Lepisosteus oculatus: one gene and its partner. The main gene of each other region encodes a partner of the protein of the gene in region 2 in a complex. Links are inferred from orthologs where the notes say so. Each region holds a gene or a part of one and is shown on either strand. Other genes may lie near its edges. The genes, in order: tmem237b and ahi1.

Region 1 (11,745 bases), on a different chromosome or scaffold from region 2:
TTGGCCCTGGTGTGAGTGTCTGTGTTTGTTCTACTGTATGATAGACTGGCATCCTGTCCAGAGTGTATCCATGTTCCTTGCCATTGTTGACCAGGATAGGGGTTACCCATAACCCTGAATTAGATAAAGCACTTAGAAAAAAGAATGAATAGATGGAAGGCTTTCCATGGGTCTTGCTCCGCTGTTAAAGCTATGACCGTGCGTGCGTTTTGTTTGACCGGCCTCTCTGTCTTCGGCCTTGTTTGTGGTCTTCAGCTGGGTTCCGCAGAAGCTTGCGCCTGTGCAGGAGAAAATCTCGCAGCAGCCACCAGCAATCCTGCTACGCTCGCTGCCCAAGCAGCTGCTACAGTGCCCTGGCCTCACCCTACGAGGAGGTAGTGAGATACCAGCGCCACCCTGAGGACAGACACCGCCTCATTGTCCTCATCGGTGAGCTACTACACCACTAGTGCACACTCCTGGTAATAAAAGTGTAAAACCTCTGAAAGGCCTTAGATAAGTGTACTTACGTACTATATAATCCAATTCTGTAAACCTGAATTTCATAAAATAACTAGCCACGCACATTGGTGTCCATATTACTGTATATTGCTGGTTCATTTTTCACTAACATAACTTCCCACTATATGGGTGTATATTAGGTGTCAGGAGCAATATAACTCAGTATAACTCAAGACAAATGGCAGCTTCAGGAGAGTTAGCTGTGAATTTAATGGATATATATCTCTAAGACAGATCCTTTGCAGTCACAGATGCCAGTGCCATGTGTTTCTCTATATAAATACACCGCCCACAAGCCTGCTGATGATGAATTTCCTCTTCAATCAAACTGTAGAATGTACGTCTTGTAAGCTGGAGGTTGTAAAATCAAGCTCCAGCTTGTACACGACATAGTCTCGACTCTCAGAAATGCTTCAGACCCCCCTGGATTTTATTCCGACCAAATCATTAATTATCTAACCTAAAACCTTACGCAGAACCTTAATGCGTACGAGGAACTCCGATCAGCAGAAAACACACGATCCCTACCAGTGAACAGAGATCATCAATCACAGTTACATATTCTTAAAAGTCAAAGGTAGAGCTGATCACACACCAAGGAATCAAGAAGTTCAGTAAGTACATTTTAGAGATACATTCTCAAAACTCTGGACTTGAGTAATAACATTGCAGTAACATGGCCTTGAACATTGTGCAGCACCCAGACAGACACTTATTCATGAGGACTTGAATACCGTATGTTCAGTATATTTTGATCTGTTGAAGGAACACTGCACATCTGTGCTCTTACTGGGAGCTGCAGGGCTCCATATTAATTTAATTAGGCCAATTTAAACTTTTCCCCAGGGCTTAAAGCTGGAGAAAGAAGGATTTCTGCACAAATGTGTAGTGCAGGTGCTCTCCTGGTGTTCCACAACTCTAGCAAAATTCGTGTTTTCAGAACACCCCTTATGCTAACGTTCAGTGTTTCCTGTGCCAAAATGAGTTCTCCCTAATACTCTGCTTGTGTTCCCCGATAAAGTAAGACATATATCCGGATCTTTGTGCTTTATTTTCTCAGGTCCCTCTGGAGTCGGGGTGAATGAGCTGCGGAGGCGTCTGATTGAAATTAACCCCAAGATCTTTCAGGGGGCCATTCCACGTACGTGCTCTGTTTACATGTGGTTTGGGCGTTCTTCAACATTAAGGAACATTGCTGGTGATCTAGGGGTCTTGCAATGCTAAGCCTAATCTGAAAAGCTTTAACTGACATTTAGATTGCTCTCAATCCTTAACACCTTTGTGCTTTGTTTGAAAGATTGCTCCTAACCCTGCTTTAATTCAATGTGCAACAATTGTGAATTTGAATCATATTCAGAAATTGGGAAAAATAGTGTTTATCTCAGTGTTTGCCCCAAGCGCAACATTTAGCCCAACATCAACTATTGAGTTTCATCCTCCCTAAACAATAAAGCTCCATGTAACAAATACATCACTTAACAATTAACAAGAAAGACTTACTTGCCACATTCAAACATTTCCTCATTTGTTAAAAGAGAAAAGTTTAAGGGCTTATCAGAAAAAAGGTTTTATATATTTTCAAGGTCTTGACTCCTGAAATAAGTTTTCAGATGATCTGCACAGAATTTAAGTACAGGAGAAAATAAAGTAAGCTGTTTTGTTTGTCAAAGTGCTAACTGTGCAAAAGACCATCACCACAGCAACTGCAGCTGTTTAAAACAGTTGATCTGTTATTTATTGAGTTTTGTAACACAATATATTTTCATTTATCAAAAAAGCTAAAACCTAATTTTTGGTGGCTCATCTGATTTTATTTGATGTGTCACCAGACTGAAAATACATTTTGTTAAAGTGTGTGGCAGTCATTTTCTTCTTAGAATACAAAACTGCCCAATTAGTTTAATTCTGTATTGAGCATATTGACTTACAGTGACATAAATTCACTGCTCGCTGTGAACCGATTTATATCAACCACATATTTTGGGTTGGCATTGATACTAACTTATAAGGAATCCAAAGCTTTTGTAGAAGTGTTCTTTTCCTTTATTTTTCAATTTGAGATTGGTGCCTGTATAATAAAAAATCATATTATTGTGATGAAATACAAGGGATTCTTATTGTTTTGTAACATAACCTAGCAGCTTATCTTGGGAGAGTAACGCAGTTTGGTCATTTAAAGACTGCTCAGCAGGCAAGTATAAATCTGTTCAAGGATTATTAATTCCAAAAATTTTTAAAAACAATTGCTTTTAGCCTGAGTAATGGCTTATCAGTAGTGTAACCTTTTTAATGTTGTATTGGGCCAGAGCCGTTGTAGGTTTTGGTGTGTTTAATTATTGCTGTTGTCTAATGGGTAAATTTCTTAAACAGACACAACCCGACCCCCAAAGAGCTATGAGGAGAATGGGAGAGAGTATCACTTTGTAACCAAGGAGTTGTTTGAGAACATGATTCACAGTAACAGGTACTATTTGTTTCAGTAACACTTCAGTACAGGTACAGTACACAGTTTCTTGTGTAGTTTCAATAATTGAAATACAGTAACTGTTTTGCTCTCTGTGTTTGAAAGGTTCCTTGAATATGGGGAATATAAGGGCCATTTATATGGCACAAGCATTGACTCTGTCAAGGAAGTTCTGGAGAATGGAAAAATTTGCATAATTGACCTAGAGCCACAAGTAAGAATTTCTTACTACTTCTTCAACATGTTGTGATGTGAACTTCATACACAATTTGACCTGATGTGACACTTAAGTAAACAAATCAATCGTTCAAGCGTAATCTTGCTGACTGGAATTGTACAACAGAATGACGTTGTGTTGGGGAAAAAATTACAGAAAAAATTATGCTGGAATTCTGGAATTCTTTTAGGTGTTCTGCAGCTCCTGCAGGCCTTGATTCATAGCAAACAACTTTAAACTTTATCACAATATTTGTGAAAAGCTAAAAACAACAACCATTAATTGTAGTAAATCTGTTTTACAGGGCATTCAAGGTGTGAGGACACATGAACTCAAAGCATATATCATATTTATTAAGCCATCCAGCATAATTCGCATGAAACAGACAAGGAAGAGTGCCCGTATCATCACAGATTATTACGTAAACCGGCCTTTTAAAGTAAGTTTTCATTTTCAAAATGTATTTTTCTTGTTCTTTGGGAAAATACTTGAAGGACAGATTTGTCAGCCTTTAGGAATCTTCTTTGTTCCTTTTCACTTGTTGAATGTGTTTCTGTACTAATCAGTATAGAATCAATTAATAAGCGTATTTATAGCGTTGCTGCATCAAAATACTGTATTTTTATTACAAACTATAGTATACTCTCCCGTAATGGTAGAAGTGCAGACTGAAGTTTGGAACAAATGTTTCTTTTGCTATATAGTACTGACATTTTGGTGACAATGTACAGTATACAGGGGAAAACTCTATTCTGGTATTCAGTGCACCACACAGACTGCTTCCTTTGGAGTGATGCTGAGTGGCTATTCCAGAGAGGGCCACTATGAAGAGCAAAGCATAAGTGATATACAGGTTATACATGGCTCAAACGCAGACTGTATCATTAGTCAACAGTGACTGGGTTTTTTCCAAGTGGTGGTGCACAATGTTTTCACAGCTTGGTGTATAACAACAATCCCTGTGAGTTAGTGGACAGAGGTGAGCTTGTTGACTCCTCCAATCACTTCTCTGCTGTTTGTAATGCTTTTAAAGTTGGGTTGCAGAGCTCTGTACTTGAGCAACAGAGAATTGAAAATCCTACTGAACGGAGAGAAAGGGGCTTTATAATTCCATTGTTATTTTAAAATATGAAAAAGATGGTGCTGGCGGACGGTGCTAAAATGGTGCTCTGCTTCACAGGAGGAGGATTTCCAGGAAATGGAGGAAATGGCGAAGAAGGTGGAGGCCCAGTACTGCCAGTTTTTTGACCACGTGATCGTAAACGACAGCTTGCAGGACTCCTGTGTCCAGCTGTTAACCGCTGTGAGGCGGGCACAGGACGAGCCGCAGTGGGTTCCAGCTCTGTGGCTCAGGCCTGCAGAAGAGTCCTGATAGAGGAGAGGGGAAAAAGGGACAAACCACACCAAAACACAGGGGTAAACCTCATCCTAGCCCAGAGACTGACTGAAACTGTGAGCTTCACTAACAGTATCTAAAGCATAACCTCAGTGCTAGAACGATGCAGTGTGCTCAAAGTTGTTTCAACGTTTTTATCAAGTTGAAGGACTTTTTAATGACCCATACATAAAAATCCTAAATGCTGGCAGTATAACAGCAAGGTTACTGTTAGAGGTCTCCTTGCAATATGGAGAATTTAGGGGCCAAAATACTTATTTTTCCTGTATTTACAGTATCCTTGAGAACTCTGGGAATCCTTTATTTTCCCTGTGAAATGACTCCAGTATGATATCACCTTTAGAATTGTTGAAGGAGTTTTACTGTATATCAACCATAATTCCTGTCCTTGTCCTTGTCCATGTCCTTAAATTAGACAGAATTCTTCTTGCTTTAGTTCCTGAGTGATGTTTTGTTTTTCAATTATTTAATCTAATTTATATTACAATATAGCCGGATTTAATGGTTTGTGGCAGTCTAGATTCCTACAGGAGGTCGCCATAGTGTGTGTTAATGGGAAACGCCTGGCTTTAGAAAGGCACAGAGATTGTGAGATTTTACAACAGGATATTTATACGATGTACCAAGAACAGCCCAATAACTTGTGTTTTCGTTATCCTTTAAAATGTACTTATTGACCATGATATTTGATTTGAATATCACTGTTCAATTACATAAATCTGGGTTTCTACAACTTTTAATGCTGTCCTTTATGCCATAAGGTTATGTCGTAGTATCTGTGATGAAAATTTAATTTACTAATTTTGGAACACCTGCCTGTGTACTCAGGTAATACAGACGGTTATAAGTTAACCTTCTCAGCACAGGCTAGTCATAATGACTGTTAGATCTTTGCAATTTTTATGTATACCAAGATAATTGTGGATTTTATTGTACACCTTTGTATTTTCTTTAAGTGTATGGTTTAATAATTTATTTCTAAATGTAAGAAGAGAGTAATGTTTTAAGTGGTTCTGAAATTGTTTAATCATCAGTTTTTCAATAGTTCTAAAAACAAATCAGGGGGATTTCATTGCATCACAGACCGCTCCAACATACAGTATAAGCCGAATTACTGATTTGTGAATTCATTTGTATCTAACCTTAAAATTGTGATCTGAAATATAAACTCTTCTAGTTTATTCATCACCTCAATATGGAATTTATAAAACAATCTATAAATTCTTTTTATAGAATAAATGACTTTGACTTTGAATAATCTACATATATTTGAGTGTTTTCTTGTTTTACTGTATGTACCACCATTTTTATTTAAAAACACCAAAGTTAATTACAGAACCTGTGGTACCACAGTGTGATTTACTGTAATTTGAATCTTTAAGTTTTCTGAGAATCCAAAATACAATGTTAGCCGTTTTTTTTTTAAAAAAAGATTTCTGTTGTCTAAACATTTTTATTCGTTTCTTTTTTAAGTAGGTTCTGCTGTTTTTGTGCAATATTGGTAACAAAGAGTGTTATATGAAATATTTTAATAATATTATTAAATGCTGAATTGATTGATATTTAAGCTGTACGTTTTGTGGTTGGACTGAACATTGTCTACTCTGCTCCATTTAATGTCATTAATGCGGATTAACGTGTCGTCATTCGAACCGAAATCTTCATACAACTTGATCCCTCTCGCCATTTTTAGAATACAAATTCATTATTCATTATTAACAGGTCCCCTAAATGAGAAATCCAGACATTTTCAGGAGGTAAAAAGATTTAATGAAGTATCAAAATCCTAACGTTGGGTGTTTGTCACTACAATCAGAGCTTCCCAGGTGCGTCCATCTATCCAAGAAGATACGGGATGATGGAAATTGCGCTTGTATTACAAGAAATAATGTAGCCGTGATTTAACCCGGAAGTAGACATGATTGACCTCCCACTGGCTCGTCGCTCTAGCAACAACGGTGTACAACAGCATGGAATTTGGTGTTCTGATTGGCAGTTTTGTTGTTATTCTTCTTTTTGTACAGTAGTTTTCTATCTTCAGAAGCTTGTTGTATTGACTTTTTAAAAATGGATGAAATTCCACGGGTAAGTGGTTTGAAATAAAATCGATCGAATATGAATGTTGAAAAAGGTGTAGTTGCAAAAGTTTAACGAGAAGCCACCTCACTTTTGTTGATTAAGATGGGTGATTATTTAAAATGTCTTTCGTGTTCATAGATTGTATTTTCAGTCTTGAAGGCCGAAAATTTTGTAAAAGTAATACTGGCTGAACCGTTTGTATTTAGTTTAGCCAGTATATACACACTAATGTCGATTAAAGTAAAATATATATTTTAAGCAATGAAGTGTCATTCTTTAATTAGAAAAAAAACATTCCCTTTAGTTTCAAATACTAGTACCAGTCGTTTTCATTAAGTATACATATTTCACGATATTATATACAGGAAGAGTTTCAAAAATGTTTGGTGCCCTAATATTTTTAAAGCTGGTTTGAAATCTATCTTCTATCCTTTTAACGGTATTGTCCATCTCGGCAGTAATAGCTGTTTTTGCATTAACTAGTACTCGCCTTGAATGAACACGGCGACAACAAGAACTTGCACTGTTGTCCTTTAAAGAAATGAAAATTGTATAAGAACTATGACGTTTATTTCAGTATTCTCTGTAATATGTAATAGCCCATACACGAACGCACATCATGAATGCGACATTCAAGATAAGTGAAATATTTATTGGGTTTAAAATATCAAAGCAAATGTGAACAAACATATAAATGCAGATTTGTCTAAGATGGTATCCAGAAAAATGTCTTTGCTCTTTGCCTGTTATTCCTTCCTTGTGAGCCCTGCTTTGCACTACAGTCCCAGCTACACAGCTGCTGGCTTTGATCCAGCCCGGATCTTGATCCTTAAGTAAACTAATAAGTCGTTTGTTTGGACTGAACTCTACAACACTGTAACGGTTGTTGCGTCCTCTGTACGTTTTGTTAGGAAGGATAAGGATTTGTTTTACCTGGATTTAAATCTGGCTTCCAAAAGAAGGATACATCGCACAAGGAGACGACTCCCTTACAAGGCCGGTGTTAGATTTGCTCCTGTATGTTGCCAGCAGAGGGCGCTGTCGCCACAACCACCTGGTAAATTTCTTTCAACCAAAATGTGGTCATATGCTAGCACGCCTGTCTGCACTTATCTGTGCAGTTCTTGGATCGTTTCTTTTTCAGGAAGGGATTTTTACTTCATCCATCTAGTAAACGCATGTAAGCCCTTAAGAGTGATTACCAATGAGAGGAGTTTATTTGGCCCTTCTCCATATCCCCAGGGATACTTTCGACAGCGTGGCTGGTTAGTATTTGGCAGACTCCTACAACTCTTTGTGTAAAGATGTGCATCCCTGATTTCCACCCTAGCTTTACTGTTGATCCTGAGGCAGTTCTCTCTGAAGAAAAATGCTGTGCTCATTTAGTCTGTGTGAGCATTACACTGTGAAGTATACATTTTGGAGGATTTTAAGTCCCTGGTCTAGGGACTGATTAAACCCTACAGCTTTATTTTGTTTCAAAAAGGGGAAAGCAAGCTAGAGCCCAGATAGTGGAGGTCTGCAATTTAAAGGTGCCCTCTAATCAAAGGCTTTATGCCATGAACTCAGAATGGGATCCTGTGAGAGAGATTTGTAGCAGTATTGTTTTTTCAGGTCTTTTTTGGGTTCACTTATGGCCCTGGGGTCCTGTCTGTGTGGAGTTTGTATGTTCTCCCTGTGCTCTCGCAGGTTTCCTCTGACTGCTCCAGTTTTGTCCCACAATCCAAAGACATGGTGGTAGGTTAACTGACTTTTGAAAATTGGCCCTTATGTGAATGGTGAGTTTGCACATGTTCGTATTTGTCTGTGTGTGTCCTGCAATGGACTGGTGTCCCATCCAGGATGTAGCCTGCCTTGTGCCTGTTGCTTACCAAGATAGACTGCTGCTCCCCTACAACCCTGAAGTGAATGAAGTAGTTAGAGGATGGGTGGATATTGACCCTAATGAGCTGATTATTTCTTTAAAGTATTTTTTTCCTTTTTAGTTTAAAAGGAAAAACATGAGGCCTTTGAATGTTATTTTTCAAACTAAAGCAGGGACGCTAGCTGAAGATCGTCTCCGCACCTACCAAGGTCAAGTGCTAGCATACAAAATTTGCAGAATAATTCAGAAAACAATGTGAAAAGAGAAGATGGAAAAAACAGGAAAATGCCAGTTAAATATAAGATTGCTATTAGTTTTACACAATATCCTTATTCAAGCTTTTAACCACACTGGATTTATTAAATGAATAATTTTCCAGATTGAAGAATTTGTCTCTGTACTTTTACGCTGTGACAATCAATTCTAATGAAATGATTATATCACATTCTAAGTAATGGCACAAACTAGCTAGGAGGCAGATGCTAAAAACAGCAAAACAGCAGGAGGGGCCTCTTTCACATTAAATACAAGTAATTAATGAAAGGATGGTGTGGAATGGAGCGAACCTTACAAAGACTGTAAAACCTGTTCTTAACACAGAATAGCCAATCGAATTCAGGATTTAAAAGTAATTTTATAATGGAGTGATTTCCTTTAGAATCTTGTTTAATGACCGCATGTGTGCTTTTGCCAATAATACTGCCTGATGCGATGGAGGAGCTGGTGAACTCTTTTAACACCTGTTGGCTGTTGTCCAGCTTATTTCCTCTTGCTTTCCCTTTCTTATTCATTACTGTTTAAATTTAACTGAAGAAAAAACAATACAGGTCAGCAGTTCTGTAAGTCCCTCTGAGAAAATCAGTGCGCTGATGTGCATTTTGATATAAATTCACTTTTTTATATAAAATGCGTCCTCGGACAATTTTCTTTTTAAGAAGTATACAAAAGCAGTTATAAACCATACCTCTCAATGTCGATGTAGAACCCCAAATATGTTGTATATCTGTGCTGACTAGGCTATCTGTTTGAATAGTTTGTAAAATGGGGAAGTTAAGCCTTATCTACTGTGAAATACCATCTTTTGCAAACTGCTAGACCGCTTACAGAGTAACTTGGACATCCGCTGCAAATATACAGCTTTCTTAGAAAAATGAGAAAATCAAATAGCTGTTTTATGCTAGAAAGGTGACTGCTATTGCATAACTGTGAAGAGTTGGTTACCCCTAATGTTTTTGTACACCACTTGTTTGGCTTCTGACCTTTATCAATAACAAATATGTTCCCGTTTTTCCTCACAAACGTTTGCTGCTCGTAAAGATAACCAGCCTTTTAATCTGAGGTTCACTACACATGGATGTAAGTAAAATGTGCTTCAGCTTTTAAAACTTAAAACCTGCTATGATGTGTTAATATTTGTAAATTAAATGTCGCCAACCCAGACTCAAATTGCGTTTCTCTCCCACTAACTGTAATGATTACAAGTCAGTTTTGATTGTAGAATAATCCAGAAAATAATCAGCTGCTTATTCAGTAGTTTATCTCTTCACTCAGGCAAGCTCCCCTTTGAAGCAGGCATCAAAGTTGGCTTAAAACAACACATTTCAAAACAACACATTTTGGTTGTTTAGCCCAAAGGTAACAAGCATTGAAAATGCATGCGTGCATAATTTTCACTTTCATGGGAGGTGAAATTGTTCTTTGCTCACTAAATTAAATACAGCATTACCACCATCTTGGTCTCATCTAACCTCACAGACACAGACACTCAGACCCAGAACCAATTTTCCCAGATTCTGTTTAATCCACCAGTAGGCTTTTGGACTGAGGGAGAAAACTGGAGCTCCTGGTGGAAACCCACATGAACATGGGATCACATATAAACCCCATTCAGAAAGCACCCCAGGAATTGCAGGGACGCAGTGCTACGAGGCAGCAGTGCTAACCACTGAAGTGCCACTTTACTGGAGAGCAGCTCATGTAAATTTCAGGCAACCAGAAATCAAAATATCCAGTGCCATCTCCAAAAAGTCTTTGAACATGAGGCATTTTAGAATTGTATTTTTGTCTCGGTGCAATTCAAACTTTTGAAGTTGCTCCCACATATCTTCCTATTGCAGAAGCTTGCACAAGTATTTAAAGACTGAAAAAGTTCTATTTAATCCTACCAGTACTCCCTCTTCCATATTAAAAAAAAACGCTTGCAGATTCTATGTAGTGGGAAGATGGTAGACAATCTTAGAGCAATGCAAAACCTTTGGCTGTAGCTGTACTTTATCCTTCCTTATTTTGTGTTAGTAAGCTCTTTTCATCATATGCTTACCCCAATAAGCTAACTTTTTATAATGCTAAACAGTGATTTTTGTTTTTGCATAAGATTTGATCATTTTAGTTTTTGAATTTCTGCATTTTATTTTTCATGGCTAGTAACTCTTTCTTTTGGTTTCTGAAATTACCCTATATGTAATAACCTTGCTGTTCTTGTACTGGATAAAATGCATAATATTTCCTTAGGAGATAGTCCTTTCCATGGCAGACATAGAATAAATGAAATTGACATTCTCACAATCTCGCTATTTACATGAAATTTATCATTTGCAAAAATAATATGGTTCATACAGAAAGCTAACAAAATGAAAGATAAGGCCGTCGCTGGTTGGAAGAAAAACACCAGTGCAGTGCTAAGCAAAATGTAACGGCATGCAGACACTGTAGGCATTATACAAAGTAGGCAGCCTGTAGTATCTGTAGCGAACACTGCAAGCTTGAGAGTGAAGGACACAGAAAAGAAGGAATTTTTCCCATCTTTATATAGCTCCTTTTTGAGGCATTTGATTTAGCTGTTATTCCCCAGTGTGCGGGCCCCTATGTTACCCCTAACCCTGAGATTAGGTGTAGCTTCAGTTTTTGTAATGGCTAGGATCTTGCAAAGATGTTGCGATTTCCAGGACCTGTTCCCAAAATGTAGATTCTGTTCAGATTGTTATTCCTCAAGTCCTGCTAGTTCTTTTGTCATTGGCCTTTCCTTACGTGTAGACGTGCACACCCTAAATCCCAGTGATTTATGCCTTGATAATCCCCTCTCCAGCAGATGTACTTTTGCACAGATTTAGAATAGGATTAGCAGGACGCAGCAACGAAGCAACCCAGCCTGCAGTAATAGGCATTCCCTGGGCACGTTCTGACTCTTGACACAATGGGGAGAAAACAAGGGGTAAGTCCAGCCT
Region 2 (11,942 bases):
TGTGTATATTTTACTATGTATATGTCAGTGTCCTGTCTGTACTGTCTGTATTTACACTGTGGATCAGGAGGAACGATATTTCATTACACTGTATACTTGTATATGGCTGGAATGACAAATAAATGTGAACTTGAACTTGAACTAGAGATACCATAACCTTTTTCAAAATTGAAATATAAACATAAAATAATATTATTTAAGAAATCTAGGAGAAAAATTAACTTTACATATGTTCTATACAGGCAGCATGGTGATGCAGTGGTTAGCATTTCCACTCCAAAGACAAATTGGTAGGTTTGTGTCTTTGGCTTCTGTTGTTGGCTCACTGCTGTGAGTTTGTGTTTATGTCTGTGTGTGCCTTGTGATGGACTGGCATCCCTGAGCCTGTTGTTTGCTGGATAGATTCTGGCTCTTCTGCAACCCCTGAATTGGATTAAGCAGTTAGAAATAAAACATGAAAAAAACATCTGACAGAGTCTGACATGACACTCAGAAAGGGTAGGTAAGGTAATTTCATATGCTGTCAAATAATGAGCTGGCCCACTTTTATCACAAAAGCAGGCTATGTCTCACATGGGGCATTAGAAGTATCTTTTAATATGATTCAGCTTCAGTAGGATTTTAATCAGAGGGACTTTGGGGCTTTTGTAAAGAATACATAAAGCAATTTTTAGCACAATACACATTTTCCATCCAAAATTACACAATTTACTGTGTGCAGTTTCAAGCTTCCATCCAGAGAAAACTGTTACAGATTTGAACATTTAATGGAAAATCTGAAGATCTTTGTATCTTAAATTGAGAGATTTTAAGATTCCATTGACCTACTTGGTCCTAAAGCTAAACTGCCTATTTAGCATACAGAACCCTGTGAAGCCTAAGAGATCACACGATCGGCACATTGGGTTTAGAGGTTAAAATGAATCTACGCTGCTTCTGACACATACTGTAAGTGTTACACTCACATTACAATTTTAAGCGTCTGGTGATCTATACTGTTTCTGTCCCCAATCCTATTATGTCCCAGTGCTAGTAATAGGAGCTCCTCAACTTCTGAACCAATTATTTCCTTGTTATAAAGAATACCATATGGATACTGTTGATTCTGTGAAACTTCCAAACATTTTCTTAACCACTGCTTCCAGCTCAGGGTTGCAGGTCTCAGAGACTCACACCCAGCAAGCAACAGGCACAAGGCAGATAGACACACACACATGCACAAACTTACACCAGGTCTAAGTTTCCCAGAAACCAATTAACTTACCAGTATATTTTTGTACTGCAAGAGGAAACCCACATGAACACAGGGAGAACATACAAACTTCATGAAGACAGCACCCCAGGTCCAGAATTGAACCCAGGGACTCAGTGCTGCAAGCATATAATATCTTTGATATTACTTTGGAATTAAACTGAAATAAACTCAGGGAAAGCGAACGGGATCCAAGATGGGGTTTAACACCTTTGTGTCTTTGTTTTCCCTGCCCTTGACCTCATCAACTGATCTGGAAAACTAGTAGTCTCATCAACAGTCTTGCGAGCATCCAATACATTTTTTTGAGGGCATGAGCCTTTGGGACATTGAGATGATAAAATTTAAAAAATAAAAATAATTTCCATTGCAGGACATACTGTAGCTTTATGTGTTTTTTATTTCTCTACTTAACAGACATACAGTAGATGTGTAAAAATAGACAAGAAACAGATAGAAATGGAGCAGGAAGTGGGGCCTCACACTCTACTGGGCTGCTGACCCTCTGTGCACACTGCCAGTGTAGACTATAGTATTGACTACGAAGACCACAGAACAGGAGGAGCAGGCAGACATCAGATGAATGTAGAAAACATGTTAAAACGCAGCTAGTGTACAGGACCAAGTTTAGAGTTCCTGATGCCTGGCCTACAACTTTTTTTTTGCTGCTGGTCCCCTTGTATCTATACTGATGGAAAAAAGAAACACACCATTTTCTGGAACAAGAATACTATAGTTATACTGTAGCTTATGTACTTTCCCAAAAAGTTGTCAATTTGTTTTAAGCCCCCTGACCAGCAATACGGCTTGTGCAGTGAAGTATTGCAACTTGCCAATCACATGAAAGCTCGTTAGGTGCACTTTTACCCATTGAGGTCCAGGTGGAACAATGCCTGATCAGGTCACCTTTAAAAAGGCCTTAATTCAAAGCTTAGGTCACTGCAAGAGAAAGGCCACACTTAGGTCAGTAGTCAGTTTTCTATGCATTTCTATGCATTCCATAATGCCTCGAATGTCACCAGAAGCAAGGGAGAGGGCCATTGGCATGCTGCTGGTAGGCATGTCAAGGTTTCAGCAGACCAGCAGTACAGATAACCATCCAAGATTCGGTCACCCTAGAGTGACCTCACCAGAGCAGGACCGACACATCAGACTGGTCCATCTGAAACATCTGCCACCCATACTGCTGCTGAAATTTCCGGCAGAAACAAAGCCCACATCAGTGACAGGACAGTGAGGCTCCATGCTACTGACCTTAGAGCAAGGCGACCTGTCAGAGGCCCTCTGCTTACACCTCCTAGACGTTACAACCGACTGGCTTGGTCCAGACAGAGGCTGCGATGGACTCGTCAGCAGTGGCATCAGGTCCTTTTCATGGATGAGTCACTCTTCAGCCTGTTCCATTCAGACAGGAGGGCCAGAGTGTGGAGGAAGAGGTGCTGCATTTCTTTTTTCCATCAGTATATTTATCATATTTGTGTCTGTGTGCCATCTGAGCTGCCTGTGACTCCGTAAAAAACTGATTTCATGGATGCATCTTCAATAATTAATAAGAAGAGAATCTAATTTGTCAAAATAAAAATGTTCTATTTATTTTGTTTTTTTGGTCAGTGGAGAAGCAAGCAAAATGTGTAAAACTGAGCTGGTGGTGATAAGCTCATGAAATGCTACAAATGGGTGTGGACTTTAGTTATAGTCTGACAGACACACAGTACAGAATTAATATCTGAGTGAATATCTGCATCTTACACAAAATTAAATAAAGGATATGGCACATAGCTATCAAGCCATACTTGTAGAAGCTCATGATTCGCATTCACTACAAGTTTTTTTTCCCACAAGAACGTGATGGTTTAATCAAGGAATGCCTAAATCTGGAAGGCGTGACGTCAGCACATTACTCACAAAGTACAAAGGTTAAGCCCATGCTGTGATGCCTCCATTTTTTAGTTCTGTAGCATGGAAAACCCCCCACAAATAAATCTAAGAGAAATTCTGGTGAAGGACTTAAAGTGGGTCTAATGGAAAACACTTCCTTTGAAACACTATTAGATATAAATTTAACTGTTGCTTGTATATGAGTTGTGCACGTCATTTGCCCTGCCTCTACAAAGTAGAGCTAAAGGAAAATCAAGCAAGAAAATATTAATGAATGGGTCTTTATAATTCTACTTTATCCAAATGTTTTAAATATTCCACAACTGTCAGAACACTAATGATAATATATTAAAGGACTCAAACTTAAATATAATATTTTACAATATACTCTTATAAAGTTAGGGTCTCTGGAGCTCATGATTTTAAACATTGATTTTGCTTTCACACAGAACGCCCACAGCAACAACAACAAAAAAGAATTTAATGAAGAGATTGCATGTAACCTAGGAGATACAAAGATGTAGCATAAATGATATGATAAACTCAGCAAGTGACCCCAGCAGGAAGGAAGGAGTCCGCCTGATTTAGTGAACTGGCTGAAAACCGTGCCAATGGCAAAGTTAGCGCTAACCTTCTAGGTTTGGGGAAAGGGTGGAGGTAGATTTGTCTGCTACCTATTAATAACCTACTGCCAACATATATTTAAAGATGCATTTTTTTTATTTTCTGAAGAATCACAGTGGGTCCCTGGAAAAATGCTGTATATCAGTGTGTTAGCACGTACTGTGACACACTGTCAGATGAATTAACTGATAGATAATAAAATTAAGACACTCTGGTGACATACAGGACAATCTTAAAGAGAAGTCACGGTGCTTGGTGAAAGCTCTAAATGGTAACCCAAACCTAAAATGGAGCTGCTCACATACAGTCAAGTTCAATGAATGAAGTACATTTTCCTTTTACAAAAGTGAGCATACAGTAGATCATAATGAAATATAACAGCAATAAATGTATTATAATCAAGTACCGATCAAACGTTCATTAACAATATGTTGAATACTTAAGAAAAGTAATTTAGAAAAGGCATTAATATTTAACACGGATTTTTAATTTTGCATTAGTTAAAAAAAACTTCATCATTTTGAAAGGTTTCCTTTTCATAAAAAAGTGGTTTTGTAATTTAGGTTCTGTGATTCATCTCTCTGATTAATCTCTTAGGTTCTGTTTTGTGCAAATCCTCTAAAATGTTTCGCTTCATTGCTTTGCTAAAGATTTTGTAACCTGATTTGTAATAGAGAGTGTGAAATAGTAAAACGAGTAGTTTATAGATCACACGAAAGATAAATAAATCACATTTATTTCAAGTCACAGTACATGTGTTTTAAGAAGGCACAGGACAGTGGTTACAGAGAGAGTGTTATGGTAGGGGTTAGAGAGAGCGTTAGATTCTGGTAGCTGCTTACACCACAAGGGAATGTTTGAGACGAGTGAGTGGACAAGGCATGTAGGAGAGAAAGGAAAGGAAGCCAGCTGCTAAATATGAGAGGGTGAAAGTGGCAACAGATATGAAGCAGGAGAGGGATAGATTATATACAAAATGAGCAACAGAGTTTTCATTAAATATGGAAGAGGTGGTGCAGATCTCTAAAGTGTGGAGAGCATAAAACAAAACAGCTGAGGTAGCTCAGTCTACAAAATATATGGTTTTGGACCAAAAGTTTTATGGAGCAGATGGCTAAGAAAAGTATGGTAGAGGATTACCTGGTTTGAGTGGTTTCCTCCGGGTGCTGCAGTTTCCTCCCAGAATCCAAAGTGAGTGTGTGTGTGCATGTGTACTGTATGTCTGTGTTTTCTCAGTGTGTACCTTGGTGTTCTATTCCAGTGTATATCTCAGGGTATATCTGGGTTAGGCTCCAGCTCCCTTGTATTGGATAAAGTGGTCAGAAATAGATGGACAGAAAAATCAATAGTAAGCAAGGAAGACGATTATAGAATATATAATATGTCTGACTTGAAAAATATGACCTTGAAGTAGAGGAGTTATTCCATGAGGACATACTGTAACTGAAACACTGTTGCACAAATGCCAGAATTATGGAAGAGAAAGGAGAAAGGAATCTGAGCATTGTTAACAAAGAACAAAGAAGTGGTACCTGTGAAATAAGATTAGACAACCAAGAGACTAGGTGTGGAAGTAAATAAGGTGCCTGGGTGCTGATCCTTGCAGAATAACAGCTGTAGGTAAGCTAAATTAGAGGCAGTAGAATAACTAGAGAGCAGAAAAGATTACCATTCAAAATCACTGCAAAAAAAAAACAATGCAATTTCCAAAGGAGGAGGGAACCATAATACAGTGAAGTGTATCACAAACCACTCATGGAATTAGCACCTAGAGATGAAGAAATGCCTGGCTGATTTGGCCCTTTAAACTGATCCAAGAGACAAACTGAAACAGGTTTCCTGCCAAGTCATAGTTCTGGTTATTTTGTAAAACTAACTGTTTGGAATGAACCATGACCGAACATACATTCATCCCGTGTTATATAAGTAAATGTTTATGCAAAGGAGTTTACAGACAGAATTTCTCATAATCAGGTGGCAAATGCAGGAGCTATTTAGTTTGGTGGTATCTGATCTCCACCTGGTGGCAACAACACAATGCAGCACAACCATTACAGTGCATTGTGCGTACAGTAAATTTACACCAATGATGAAAGGTTTTTCAGTGAAAGTAAGAAAAACAATTAAGATTATGTTCAATAATTTGCAGATAATTAAATATGGTAACAATGATTGTATTTGAACGGTGCTTCTCATGCAGTACAGCACAAAACATCGTTTAAATAGATCAACGCATAAACATACTAAAACATTTCAAACATTATAATCATATTTTGAAATGTTAAGGCAGAAAATTGCTTATAGAGTAAATATCAATGTATTATTACACTAACCAATCACTCAGTCGAGGTTTGAAATATTAAGAAGGCATCGTGTGAAATTGAACGATATAATAATACTTTCAGTTTTAAGCAGTGTCCGGCTTGCACAATTTCAAATATGGACATCCTGTAAATTTAAGCTTAAGTTCAACTCACATTCACCCACCAATGTATGCAAATCACACACTTTAAATGTGATACATATGCCATTGTGCCTTAATAGCAAAACGTAAATTATTTGACAACGTTGCAATTACGTGTGCTTCGTGCAGCCTTTCTTGTTTGGTGTTTTTGCACTTTTAATATATACTCTGTCGAACTAATAAGAATTAAAAATGATGTTCATTCACATTGAAACATGACTACGACTGGAAGATTTAAAAAAGAGCGCACAACAGACCAGAGTCACAAACCCCAACTTTACTCTAGTCTCCTGTAATTTGTTGGTTTCTATGACCCCGCACGCACAGATTTGTTCCCTGCGCCACTGCACAAGACACCCTACCCTACTGTCTGCCGCAGGAGAGGACGCTTGATTCTGATTGGCGACGGCGTGCTGTGGCGTCACACGGACAGCGGCTCTCGCCAATGTTGTTGTTTGAGAAACCATCGTGACGGCTTGACTCCATTGATGCATTTGTCTGTCCTGGTGTGTTGATTCGTGTTTTAATACAGTAAACGACACACACAAAAGTCCGCAGAATAACAATGTACACAGGTACGTGTCTCGAGACTCAGCATGCATTTCAGTATTTAAAATATGAGTTCAGCTTGTTTTGATTGCGGGAGTAAAGTTTGCGGAGGATGCTGTTTTCTAATTATTTTTATGTAGCATCTTGATCGCGATTTCATGTTTGGGTTCTGTTTTCTCAATATGTCATTCGGCACTGTTGCTAAGGACTAGACGTGAGTCATGTTGTGGTGTCTGATACCAGTAGGGTTGTATAGAATTGACTGTTATCTCTCCATCATTCACCGAAACATCACCGTAAAGCTTAAGCTGATGTGATGTTGAGATTTAGAGAAGAGCGTTCAAGTTTCTGAAGTCGCTACATAGGTTTGATTCTTCAGTCAAGAATATATTCGCAAAAAGAAAAAATGTAGTACTCCTGAAATGTAAACTAAGCACTGGAGGAGTAGTTTACCTACTGTATATAACTGGAGGGTTGTGGGTTCGAATTTCGTGTGGGACACTGCTGTTGTCCCTTGAGCCAGATTGTTCCAGTAAAATGTACAGCTCTGTAGATGCAAGCTGCACACGCTGTGTGTGGGATAAATGACAAGATGCTATGATGCTATTGAAATTCAAGCCAAACAAATACATTTAAAACCACTGGTTTCACAGCTCATGACTAGAACTATACTTGGTGTTATTACAAGGTACATGAAGTCTGGAAGTAGTTCTACAGTTAATTTCCTCTGTAAACTAACCTTAAACATTTAATAATAATAATAATAATAATAATAATAATAATAATAATAATAATACACTTTATTTTATATAGCACCTTTAAAGGTGGCTTCTCAAAGCGCTTTACAGGATGACAATAACAATAAATAAGAAGACTACAACAATAAATAAGAAGATTTCACAAGATAGGACACAATTATAATTACAACAATACAACAATAACAATAGGGGGAGACCGTGGAAGGTATTACTAAGAAGAGCAGAGGGGTGAAGAATGGAACCAGTTAAGTAAAGGCTTTTCTGAAGAAGAAGGTTTTGAGTCTGGATTTGAAGAAGTTTAGAGAAGGTGGCTCTCTAATATCCTGGGGCAAAGAGTTCCAGAACTTGGGGGCATAGCAGGAGAAGGCCCTGTCGCCCATACAATGTAGACGGGCTTGGGGGACAATAAGGAGGGCAGAATTTGAAGAGCGGAGGTTGCGAGGTCGGGAGTAGGGCGATAAAAGTTCAGACAGGTATTGAGGTGCCAAGCCATGTAAAGCCTTATAGGTGAGCATGAGGATTTTAAAGTCTACGCGGAATTTGACCGGAAGCCAGTGCAAGGACTCCAGGATAGGAGTAATGTGAACACTTGCACTAGACCTGGTCAGGATTCTGGCTGCTGAATTTTGGACATACTGCAGCTTGTTCAGAGTAGATTTAGATACCCCCAGGGAGTAGAGCATTGCAGTAGTCAATTCGAGAGAATACAAATATGTTGATCATCTTTTCAGCCACAGTAAATGATAGCATAGGGCATAGTCTTGATGGGGGGTACCAATAAGCATGACTTCAGTCTTGTCACAGTTAAGATGAAGGAAGTTTTGAGTCATCCAAATTTTTATGTCAGAGATGCAATTAGATAGAATAGAGACAGCCACATCAGTGTCAGGTTTGGTATGGATGTATATTTGAGTATCGTCAGCGTAAAAATGAAAGCTGAGGCCATGTGATCTTAAAAGCTGACCAAGTGGGAACATGTAAATGCTGAAGAGCAAGGGGCCCAGTATTGAGCCCTGGGGGACACCAGACTTGCCAAGACCAATTTCAGACCTGTATTTAAGTTATTGAAAGATAAGCAGTGCTGAAGCAATGAAACAGACTCAAACTTTGCCTGGTTGTTATTCTCAAACATCCCCAAATAATGTTTTTGTAATGGAAATTTATGATGCACAATATTCTGAATGCTGACATTTCTGAGGCAATATGAAGACCAGAAGAATATTAAGATCTTATTGTTAGAATCTTATTTTTCAGTTACAATTACAACGATAGATTCACAGATAATAATTTCCAGTAGTCCTGGTTACATAAATTCTCATTAGATATTCTAATACTATTGAAAATTCATATCTGAAACCACTGTGTAGGGACTAGATAGTGTAGACATTGCAGCTATTTATACAGTAACTGTGACAGTTAAGGAGCTGAACAGAGTATTAGGTGCTCCATCTCTGGTGTTGGAGGACCACTTTGTAAGTCAGCAGCACCTGAAGAGCTGGGAGAAGTTGATGTATTGGTACAGTTAAGTCAGTAATGAGATGATTTAAGTGCTCAGTTTGAATGAAAACCTCTGTGCTGACATATATTGATATAACAGGAGCGGCATTGGACCACCTGCATTGCTGCATTGACAAGAACCTGTTGTGTTTCTGTAACAAAAAGAAGATAAACCTGTAATTCTGAAGAAATGAGGCAGAAAGCCTTTACTGTATTCAGTTTCCGAAAAGTAATTTTAGCTACATTTGATCATTAGGCATCTAAATGTAATATCAAATGTAGGTAAAAGTTTTTAAAAAACTGAATGTAGGGTTTTTTTCCTCTCTTTATGATTGAGATTACAGGGATATCTTATATTTCTTATATTTGTTACAATAGACACCCACTTATTTTGAGTCAGGGTAATAGTAGCTTGGAGTGACATCCTGGTTGCTCGGGGTACGAGGTGAGACTGCCTCTTCTGAGGGAAGAGATCTATTAATTTGCAATCAGAGAGCATTAGCACTTGCTACTCCTCTTGTAGGCCCTCTAGCCCTCTCCAGTACAGAGCAGCCAACAGGTCAGTGCCTGTTTTGTTTAGTAATAAGAGCTGATTAGTAATTAAAGAAGTGGGGAGCTGTTTCTCACAAAGGAATAGATCTGAAGTAGGCTGTGATACACCATTTTAACCGGAGGGCTATAAAATCCCCATTAACAGGATAAAATTAGTTCCTTCTGCGGTGTTGTAATCAGATTAAATGTATTAGTTAAAGGGATCTGGACAAAGCTGATTGAGATGAAAACTCTGACACAGAACTTGATGATGGGTTGCTATAAACCTGAAACAAAGCTGGAAATAAGATAAGATCACTTTATTGGACATATACAATTTCTTGCATTAGGAATTACTCTTTTTGCATACCCCAGCTTGCTCTCCATGAGACACACAGGCACACATTCGGCTAGAGAGAAGCTTGGAGTCAGAGTGCAGGGTCAGACATTTATACCGGCATCCCTGGAGCAGTTGGGGTTAAGGGCCTTGCTCAGGGGCCCAATGGAGTAGGATTTCCCTGTTGGCCACAGGATTTGAACTGGCAACCTTCCAGCCACAGGCGCAAATCCTTAGCCACATTGCCAGATCAAGACATTGCCTTTCACTGCTGCATTTGTCATTTGTGAGAGTCAGTGAGTTGAAAGTATGATAAAAGGCTAAAGAGATATCTTGCAAACCAAAAAATGTTCCCTTTTGTGTATGAAACCAAACTAATATTTACTATTGATTCATATGGGTTATATCAACCATTACAAAAGAAAATGCAGCATAGAACATGTGAGTTTTGTACTTGAAAGACTGACAATTAATGCCCTGTTAGTATTTACAACTATGACACTTTTGACTATTTCTGTTTTGGTGCATTCAGTCTAATTCATTTCCTGGAATTTATGCTGGATGTGGTTTTCTTTTTTACTCTTCTGTGTTACAGTTCAGTGAAGTTAAGGGCAGTGGCTGATGATGATAGCACATTGCAAAATGTTTTCAAAGGCAGAACTTTATTTAGTTCAATTTGTGTGTTTATTTTCTGTCATTGCAATGCTGAGAAATAAGTCCTCTCCCTTTTCCTGAGGGTATTGCATGACATTGTGGTGGGATTTCTTATGAGGTGAATGCTTTGACTTCTATTTATAAGGATCTGATGGCCCACTGGAGAGGTTGGTGGTCCATATGTCCTTTAATTGTACTTAACAAAAGAAGGATTATAGGCACAAATTTTGAAGATAAGGACAAATGTATTTTGTTCTTTTGTTTTCTTTTTTTTTTGAGGTACAGATATTAAGCAAACTTTTTAATGCATTTCAATGCATGACATGTAGGAAAAAACAATTAAGAACTATGAATATTTTATTTGTAAATGAATATACTGTATGTGATTAGAATGGGTATACATTTGTTGTGGTGATGTCTGGGAAATACTGATTATGATTTATATCACACTGTCCCCAAATTCGTTACATTTAGGGCTTGTGCAGGATTAGTGAATCTTTGAAACTGTCTGCTATAAATAAGGCAATTTTAATAAATGTAACAATAAAGGTAATAAAATATCCCCTATAGTAAGGAGTGATTTTGACTGTGGATTTGTGCTTTCTTTGTTCCTGGCAAAGGTTAATGGAGGAGTAATAAAATGAAGACAGTCCTAAAAGACAGACAAAAGTTTATTTACGAACTTGAAATGTTAAAAGTTTGAAAAGGTCTTGTAAATGTTGGTCAACAATGCAAAAGATGTAAAGCAATTTTTACAAGTTATAAAATGGCTACAATTTTTTTCCTATTGAGACAGAATCATTCATTCATAAAAGAAAAGCAGTTGTAATCACAGGTCTTGAATAAAAAAGTTGAAACTGGAGAAATTATGTATTTGGAAACAAAGGTCATCTGTTAAATAGAAACTGTAGTCCCAATTTCTCAGACTGGTGATTAAATCTCGGTAACAAAATAAATTCATTGATGGTATAGAAGAATTTAACAAATGTCAAATTAAGCAAGAAATTGTGAACTTTGTGAAAGTACTGTAAGTCGCCATGTTGTTGCAAATCCCTGGTATCGCCATGGTCGAGAGTGAGGGTTCGTGAGAATTGTAACGTGACGCGGCCCTTCCTGCTCACTAGTCACTGTAATGACTACTGCAATGCGATATACAAGCGAATAAGTACAGGTTGTGCGGCAGATACGGTATTTCACTGCAGAAATGTTCCAACGTGACCTGCATGCAGAGTTAACAAGTAGTATCTGTGGACAAAACCATCTCGAAGTCGAGAGAAATATTTCTGTTGGATTAAAAGAGATGTGTTCGCAAGCCTGCTTCTTGACAATGTAATAAGGCCACTTCACATCACCGGAACTTATCTTGCCTTGTTCTGAATTCCAAAATATGGCGCAGTG

Evidence for each region.
Region 1: ahi1 (region 2) and tmem237b share a complex: the UniProt entries of both Homo sapiens proteins name them as parts of the tectonic-like complex. The link is inferred for Lepisosteus oculatus from reciprocal best matches to the Homo sapiens genes AHI1 and TMEM237.

What each region holds. Positions count from the first base shown.
Region 1 is NC_090707.1:34,916,524-34,928,268, forward strand, and holds the start of tmem237b (transmembrane protein 237B), read left to right. Parts: upstream 1-6,234; 5' UTR 6,235-6,645; coding exon 6,646-6,663; intron 6,664-10,844; exon of another isoform or gene 10,845-11,714; coding exon of another isoform or gene 11,715-11,732; intron 11,733-11,745. Other genes in the region: mpp4b (MAGUK p55 subfamily member 4), read left to right, coding at 256-429, 1,562-1,642, 2,872-2,965, 3,071-3,179, 3,487-3,621, 4,363-4,554. UniProt on the Homo sapiens protein: Component of the transition zone in primary cilia. Required for ciliogenesis.
Region 2 is NC_090697.1:50,191,061-50,203,002, reverse strand, and holds the start of ahi1 (jouberin), read left to right. Parts: upstream 1-6,582; 5' UTR 6,583-6,793; intron 6,794-11,942. UniProt on the Homo sapiens protein: Involved in vesicle trafficking and required for ciliogenesis, formation of primary non-motile cilium, and recruitment of RAB8A to the basal body of primary cilium.